Coturnix japonica: one gene and its partner. The protein of the gene in region 1 purifies or fractionates together with the protein of each later gene. This does not show direct contact. Links are inferred from orthologs where the notes say so. Each region holds a gene or a part of one and is shown in the gene's direction. Other genes may lie near its edges.

Region 1 (3,815 bases):
ATGCAGTGAGTAGAAACTTGTTGCTTCTTTGAAAGAATTCCTACTGCTCTGCAGATGTATTTCTGTTGATTCAGGGCTTTCATAGTGACTATTTAAAATTACCTTCAGCATTTTAATTTTCTTTTCCAATACTGACAAACATTTACTATGTTTTGATTCATGCCAATCTTTATTGGTTTGGTTTTTTTGCTTTCAGTGAGGTTGAGTTAGCTGAAAAGTTGCTGGGTGTGTTAACAAACTGTGCTTTTCTTTCTGAAGGCTTGACGTTTTCATTGTAACTGAGAAGGCCTAAATTTAGGCTGCCAGCTTTTGTGTAGGTGGATTTGTACGTTTCTGTTTGGAACACTCTTAGTTTTTAGGAAAAAAAACTGGCGTGATGGAGTTGTGTTTTGTTTTTTAATATGATTCTTTATCACTTTTCAGTTGGGACAGGAAGAATAAAAACATTTTTGTCAATTTGCTTTATTTAAGAAATAACTATTTTTTCTAAAATAAATAAGATTATAACATATCAATTTGAGGGGGGAAAAAAAGCTTAGGGCATAAAGATGAAAGCTATCGCAATTTCTTATTACATAGTCCTTTCAGAGAGAACAGTGTTAACAAAGTTGGTTCTCTGAGGGTTGATAGCAATTTGTTTTCTGTAAGCTGTGTGATACATGCTGTTTTCTTTTAACTGCTCAAAGGAATTGAAGTGGTGTCTTCTGCCTCCTGAGCTCAAGCTAGTCTAAACATTCCTTTGGATTTCACACTGAGTGACTGTGAATGCTTTACATTCTTTCATTTGAAATGTGCTGCTCTGAAAAGAGCAGAAAGTGGAAAGTATTCAGGAGATCAGATAAGATCAAGCAGATATTGTTATATAATTATAATTAACTGCATATCACTATTCATCTAGATCTGAGGGAAATAAATATTTGCTTGCAAAATATATATAAATATGGTATGAAGTAACTGTAGTGTAGTATGTTTATAAACTATTGATGAAAACTGCTGATGACCTTGGAAATTGATTTTGTTATGCCCAGGCACAAGAAAGTGTGAGCTTTTTTTGTGTTTGACCATGTTCTCTTTTATTTCCCCTCACCTTTTATTCAGCTTTACGTGTAGGCAAGCAGTAATGTGTAGTAACTGTCTGGTTTTCTTACATGATACAGTTTGAAGCTGGTAACATGAAGAACTTGGTACTGAAGATTATCTCTGGATCCTTTCCTCCTATTTCTATGCATTATTCCTGTGACCTACGTAATCTGCTGTTACAGTTATTTAAAAGGAATCCTAGGGATAGACCATCAGTAAACTCCATATTGGAGAAAAACTTCATAGCCAAACGGGTTGAAAAATTTCTCACGCCACAGGTATGGGGCTGGTTTTAATTTCATTTGGTTAAAAGGTCTTAGGACTGTTTTTTATTCCAGTGTCAATATACAGTATGAGAAAGTGGACTAATGGTATTTCCTAAAGCTTTTGTGCAAACCTTTTCGTTTGAGAGAAGAGAGTTGTTACTATAAACTACAAAAAATAAAAACAAATACAATCTCAACTTACTGAAGTATTTGGTAGTTTCACAAACAAATTTAAATTGACCTTATCTTAAAGAGTATTATTTTGTATGTCTTTGTATACAGGGAGGAATTTTGAGTCAGATGTTCATTTGCTTACATATATAGTTCTTTCATGAAGTGGTGTTGTCTTCAGCATCAAATCTTTATTGTGATTGCTTCAATCCATTTGTTGATGCAATTTGGAATTGCCTGCAAGCTTGTTTTGTGAAATATTGCTAAGTAAATGTGATGTTTGAATTTCTTGCATACATAACATTGAAGAAATTATTCAATATTCTGTTTAGGATCTATTGATATAATTTGACAACTATTCAACCTATTTTAATGTAAATTTAATCAAAAGAGATCAAGAATAATGAGCACTGATGTATGAGGTAAGTAAATACAGGATGAGAAAGGACATGGAGAGAATTAATGCAAAAGAAGACCTCATTAAATATAAAGAATTCTGATGGACTCAAATTCTAACATAAAGAAATTTTGGGGGAAGGCCATATATAATTGGAATTTCTTTCGTATGGAAAATAGGCTTTCAACTAATGGTATTTAACACTAAAGTTCCAGCAAAAGACCAGATTCAGAAATCTTCATAGCAGACTTGTAAAAATAGTAGAAAATCTGTCTTTTAAAAAACTGAAGGCTTGATCAGATTTTACGTCTAGCAGCTAGAATGAAACTTCTGTTTGTGATGATTCAGACATGGTATAGCTGGTAATAGACTGCTACCTGATGTCAGTATTTTCTTGGACTAAGTACAAATATTTGCACACAATTCTGTAAACTGATTCACTGACATATTCAAATTAAAAATCTTAAAAGACAGAGAAGGAAATGACCAGGAAACATCTCTTATTGAATGTGTTGGTAACTGGTGCATACGTGTACTGTTGTCTTCTGCTATCCCTGGTCTGAGCTAAAGAGATCCTCATTGGTTCTGTCATCTGCAAAACATGACAGCTGTTGCTGAAATGCTGCTCTTAACTGCTTGAAAATCAGTCTCCCATGTTTATATAAATTCTTAATAAATTTTCACGGTCACAAGTCTGCTATGTGTGACAGAACAGGTACACCATCATAGACAGCTTTTGGTATTGTTTATTCTAAACCTTCCTCCTTGACCTTGGTTGTATTCTATGCTTTTTATATTGGGATTATCATTTCTGCCCTTTTGTATTTCTTTGCAAAATCCCATGTAGAGTTCTAGACATCTGTTACGCTGCATGACATCTTTTTACAGGCTGAAGAACTAACTTACTTATTCTTTGTACTGAAGATTTTGTATGCTGTTAATTCTTACTGCTCTTCTTAGAAACTTTTCCATCTCTACATTATTTTTGGTTCAGGGATTTGGAACTACAAGTGTTCAAGATGAGGTGTGAGGATAATATATTAATGTTTATTATCTTCTGCTAACTTGATGTGTGTGACTAAACCCCATGTATGTTATTCCTAGATAGCCTATGTATATGTGTATCTCATATAATCTTCCCATCTCAGAAAGCACAGAAAAGCTAAAATATGAAGAAATCTCTAAAGGACTGTGCTTTGACACAGTCTATCTGAGAGACTGAAATGAGATGTGAGAACTATACAGTAGTTTAGAGCAGACTGTTCATAAAACACATGGTGAAGAACACTTAAACTTTATTCTAGTTTCTTAGTTAAGTCATAGTTCAGGTAACGTGCAACCTGAAAACCAGACTAAGTAGTTAATTAAAATAATTTTATTAATGTTTTTATTTTGAATTAATGATTCATTTTGCTTGGAGAAGAGTAGGCTCTGGAGAGACCTGATAGCAGCCTTTTGATATTTAAGAGGACACTATAAGAAGGAAGAGGACAGACTCTTTATCGGGATATGTTGGGATAAATCAAGGGTAAACGTTGTTAAACTAAAAGAGGGGAGATTTAGACTGGATACAAGGAAGAGATTTTTTTACAACACAAGTGGTGAGGCACTGGCACAGGTTGCCCAGAGCGGTGGTAGAAGCCCCATCCCTGGAGACCTTCAAGGTCAGGCTGGAGCAGATTCTGAGCACCTGATGTAGCTGTAGGTATCCCTGTTTATTGCAGGGAGGATTGGACCAGGTGGTGTTTAAGGGTCTCTTCCATCTCAAATGATTCAATTAAACTGTCAGAAGTGTTTGAAAGCAATGAATCCAGCTTCATTCCAATGCTAGTGGTGCAACACTGAATACGTGCTTTAGTGTTGAACTTAGTGTTCACTTAGGGTTTTAGTAAATATTACTA
Region 2 (3,864 bases), on another chromosome or scaffold:
TGGTGACAGCCACTGTTCTCTCGTGGGGGAGAATGAAAGCAAAAGGCCTCTACAAAGCAGGATTGTTGGGTGAAATTCTCCGGGTGTAGCTCTGCAGCAGCAGCACATTCCTGATCACAGGCAATGTCTTTCTGGGCTGCTGGAGCTCATTGCAAGCAAATGGCTCCAGGCTGTTGTTTTTGCTTTCACAGCCGTGACAGAGGAAGAGCTGTCCCAGGCCCTGGTTGATGGGGAGGAAATCACGGCCCCACCAGCCAGGAGGAGTATGGAGAATGGCTGCTCTGCATCCACAGAGTCCAGTGCTGCCGAATCCACAGTGGAGACTGAGAGCGAGATGCTGAGCTTCGGTTTGGAGGAGACCAAGTGAGATATTAGGGCTCTTGGGCTGGACCTGTGGGTAACATAATAGGACCCTGCCAGCCAAGCCCCCCATCTTCTATGGGCAAGCCCTGCAGTGGGTGCAGATTCCTGTTGTTCCAGTTAGTGTGATGGAGCAGTGCTGGGTCAACAGTACTCACGGGTCTGGTTCTCTATCTGCCAAACAGGCCCTTCCACGGAGGGGTGCTTGCTATCAGCTGCATGTGCAGACAGAGGTGGGTGAGCTCACCTCCTTAGCTCCCCTGCAGCATGCTTTGGTGCTCATCAGCACCGTGCACATGCTGGAGTGTGGTGTGATGCAGTTGGTTCCCAGTCCCATGGCTGAGAGCAGCCTCCTCTTATTGCCTTGCCTGATTACATCCTGTAGCTGTGAGGCTCTTACTATGGTTTTGCTCAGGCTGCTGTGTTCTGTAGGCAGCCGAGGTGTGTGAGATGTGCTTTGAATCCCTTGGCTAGAGACTTGTTGGGTGACTGCCAGTGACTGCAGAAGTTTGGCCTGGCCGAGTAAGGTTTTGCCTTCTGCTTATTGTAACATTTGCTCTTCTTCCCTTTCTTCAGCAAAATCCGAGAGCAGCTTGGTATGAAGCCTGTTCCTAGGGATAAATTTTCCTCCTTCTCATCTCAAGAGGTGGACTGTAGCCAAAAGACAAGAGTGAGTATCTTTCAAGTCCAAATTGCTTTTCATCTTTGCAATGCCGTGCTGTGTCTTTATTTTCCTCCGCACGCAAAGAAAGCCTGATGAGGTTTGTGCTCTCCATCTGTCTGCCCACGGGCACGTGTGTCCCTGCACTAAGGCAGTGCTAGGAGGTGGGCAGCAGCTGAAATGCAGCTGGTGAGCGGGAGGATGCTGAATCGAGTGCATAGGTGCATCTTCAGCCCCCTCGGTGGTGTAACCCCAGATGAACCTCATGGATCTTGGCTGTGCAGCTGGGAGCTGCTGTATTCTGGGCTCGGTGCCATCGCTGCAATTGGCATAGGGAGGCCATAGTGAGGATCTAGACCGTGTTCTGCCTCATTCTGATGCTTGTTGCCTTCATGTCCACGTTCATTCCATGTATTGTAGGCTTCCTTTATAGCTCCAAGAGTACTACTGCAGGTCCTGCCTTTTTTCCCTGTTTTTCTTTCTTCTTTCTGCCAAATGAAAATGAAGGGGATGTGGGCACAGACTGCAGCTGTGGAGCTTTAAGTTGGACATTAGGAAGAAAGATTTCCCCTACAAGGTGCCTGGAGAGGTTGTGGAATCTCCCTCTGGAGTTTTTCACGACAGGGTTTGACAGAGCCGAGTTCTGGTGTTGGCAGCAGTCCTGCTTTGCTGGAAGGCTGGCCTGGGGACTTCCAAAGGTTCTATCCAGCTCCTGTTTTTGCTATTGTCTTACCATTGCTCAGATCAGAGTGGGGGCAGGTCCTTTCTCACCCTTCATGTGGTCACACTGGAGAAAGGACAGCTGTTCAGTTGAGCGCCCTTTTCCCTACAGGAGCCAGAGGTGTGCGGGCAGTCTATGCAGGACTGGGTGGACGAGTTTGTCCTGCATTCCAGTGAGTCTCCTCCAAGGCAGCCTCTGCCCCTCAGGGCCTCAGGGGGGTCGGTTTGTCCTTGTAGGTGCAGGTGATGAAGTCCCTAGAAGGAGCAGCAACTCGAAAACCGAGTGCCCCCCTTCTCTGGGCTGATGTTAACGTGTTTGTTTAAAGCAGTGTCTGTCTCATCCTGGCAGAACAATGTGCTGAACGCCATCCTGCTTCTCACGAAGGAGCTGGACGCGGAAGGTCTGGAGATTGTCCAGCAGACAGTGGGGAGGAGGCTGCAGGCCTTTCGGAAGAGAGAGCTGCAAGAGGAGTGAGGGTGCGTGCTGTATCCTGGAGCACTCCGTGAGCCAGGGAGCTTGCCCCAGCCCAGCAGCACCACTCTGCCCATACATGCCTGGCTCAGCACGTCCCGCTGCACTTCCCCTGTGGATGAGGTGATGCTGGCTGAGAGCAACTGCCCCTTTACCTCTCCTGACATTGCCCCTGGCTGTGTGCATCACGCTGGCAGGATCTGCCTCTCAGGAGCTTTCCTGCTGGCCTGGCAGGCTCTGTTAATGTGTGCATGTTGCATCACTGGGGTCATTCGATGGGAGCCATGGCATGATCAACAAGAAAAAGCTAATAGGGCTGTGGGCAGAGGTGCTGCTGTGCTGTACAAATGAAGGGGCTGGAAAGCCTGACAGCAGCCAGAAGTACCACTGCTCCCTGTTGGCCGAGCACTTGGCCAGTTGTCATAGAACAGGCTCTGAAGGCAGCTTCTCCCACAAAGGTTTGTTTGAATCTTGGGAAGACGCTGCCTGAAGGGTTTTCAACAACTCTCTGGTGCAGATGGTGAAGGTCAATGTCAAATTCTTTCTTTATCTTAAAACTCTTGATTTCTTTCGGCCTTGTTAGTACAAGCAGCATCTGATTCCATGGTCAGGTGGCCCATGGAAGACCTTGGTGCAGCCTGGGTGAAGCAGCACATCCTGAATGCTCTGCTGTAGTTTCGCCCCTGCTTGCCCTCGCAGGCATTTGAGCAGCCCAAGGGAAAATGAACCTTAGAGCAAAATGCTCCTGTGTGTTTTGGGAGAAAACGAGCCAAGCATTGCTGTCGGAATGCACAGGTATCAAGGGTGGTGCTTAAGTGAAGAAGCTGCGTTCAGAAGGGTTTTACAAAGCTGTTAAATACCACTTGAAACATTGTGACATAGCAAATAAAAGCCGTTTTCCCTCTAGGACCTGCGAGTTGTGCCTGGGGCTCGGCAACCATGGTGAGAACAACTGACTCTGGGCATTGCTGTGTTACATCTGGGTCACGGCTCCCATTGTGAGCCCTCTGAAGCCGCAGGGCAGCTGTTGGCCCCTGCTCCATCCCGCTTCACTGACCGTGAAATGCTTCATCTGACTGCAGTGCTGCTCATAACCACAACTGCTGCACCTCCCTGCTTTCCAAAGGCACTTTGCTGCTGGGGCAGCTCTGCAGCAGGGAGCAAAGGGACTGTGAGCAAGGCTTGGTGCAGAGATGCAAAGCCTGCAGGATGGGGGACGTGGCCTTTGGTGCGGTTCTTTGCAGGGCCTGGGGTGGTTGTGGCTCTGCTCCCTGTGTCTGCACAGGCACCCAGGCCCCTGCACTGGGTTGTGCTGATAGGATGCTCCTTGGGGATGTTAGCCCCGTGCACACAAGCACATCTATGTGGCTTTGGGATGAGGGGACACAGCGTGTCCCTCTGGTGAGGATTGCTGATGCCTTTAACTCTTCAGATGACCTAGTTCTTGCCTGCTGTGTTAAGCCCAGCTGCACTGAACTGGTCAGTGTGATTTATTATATACTAGTCTTGCCCTGACAGCCAAAGCCCCAGAGACTTACCCGGCATCTTGTTTGCATCCTGCCCTTGCACAGAGGTTAAGTCTTCTCCCAGGCTGCCTCGACAGCTGTTTGGTGGCAGAATTTGCACCTTTTTGCACCGAGGATCGTGGGAG

The links.
Region 2: the proteins of NEK1 (region 1) and CFAP410 purify together in Homo sapiens (affinity purification with mass spectrometry; 3 studies listed by BioGRID and IntAct, with this or other methods). This does not show direct contact. The link is inferred for Coturnix japonica from reciprocal best matches to the Homo sapiens genes NEK1 and CFAP410.

What each region holds. Positions count from the first base shown.
Region 1 is NC_029519.1:22,223,962-22,227,776, forward strand, and holds part of NEK1 (serine/threonine-protein kinase Nek1), read left to right. Parts: coding exon 1-5; intron 6-1,157; coding exon 1,158-1,358; intron 1,359-3,815. UniProt on the Homo sapiens protein: Phosphorylates serines and threonines, but also appears to possess tyrosine kinase activity. Involved in DNA damage checkpoint control and for proper DNA damage repair.
Region 2 is NC_029524.1:3,309,337-3,313,200, reverse strand, and holds the end of CFAP410 (cilia- and flagella-associated protein 410), read left to right. Parts: intron 1-191; coding exon 192-363; intron 364-936; coding exon 937-1,030; intron 1,031-1,853; coding exon 1,854-1,914; intron 1,915-2,090; coding exon 2,091-2,248; 3' UTR 2,249-3,120; downstream 3,121-3,864. UniProt on the Homo sapiens protein: Plays a role in cilia formation and/or maintenance. Plays a role in the regulation of cell morphology and cytoskeletal organization. Involved in DNA damage repair.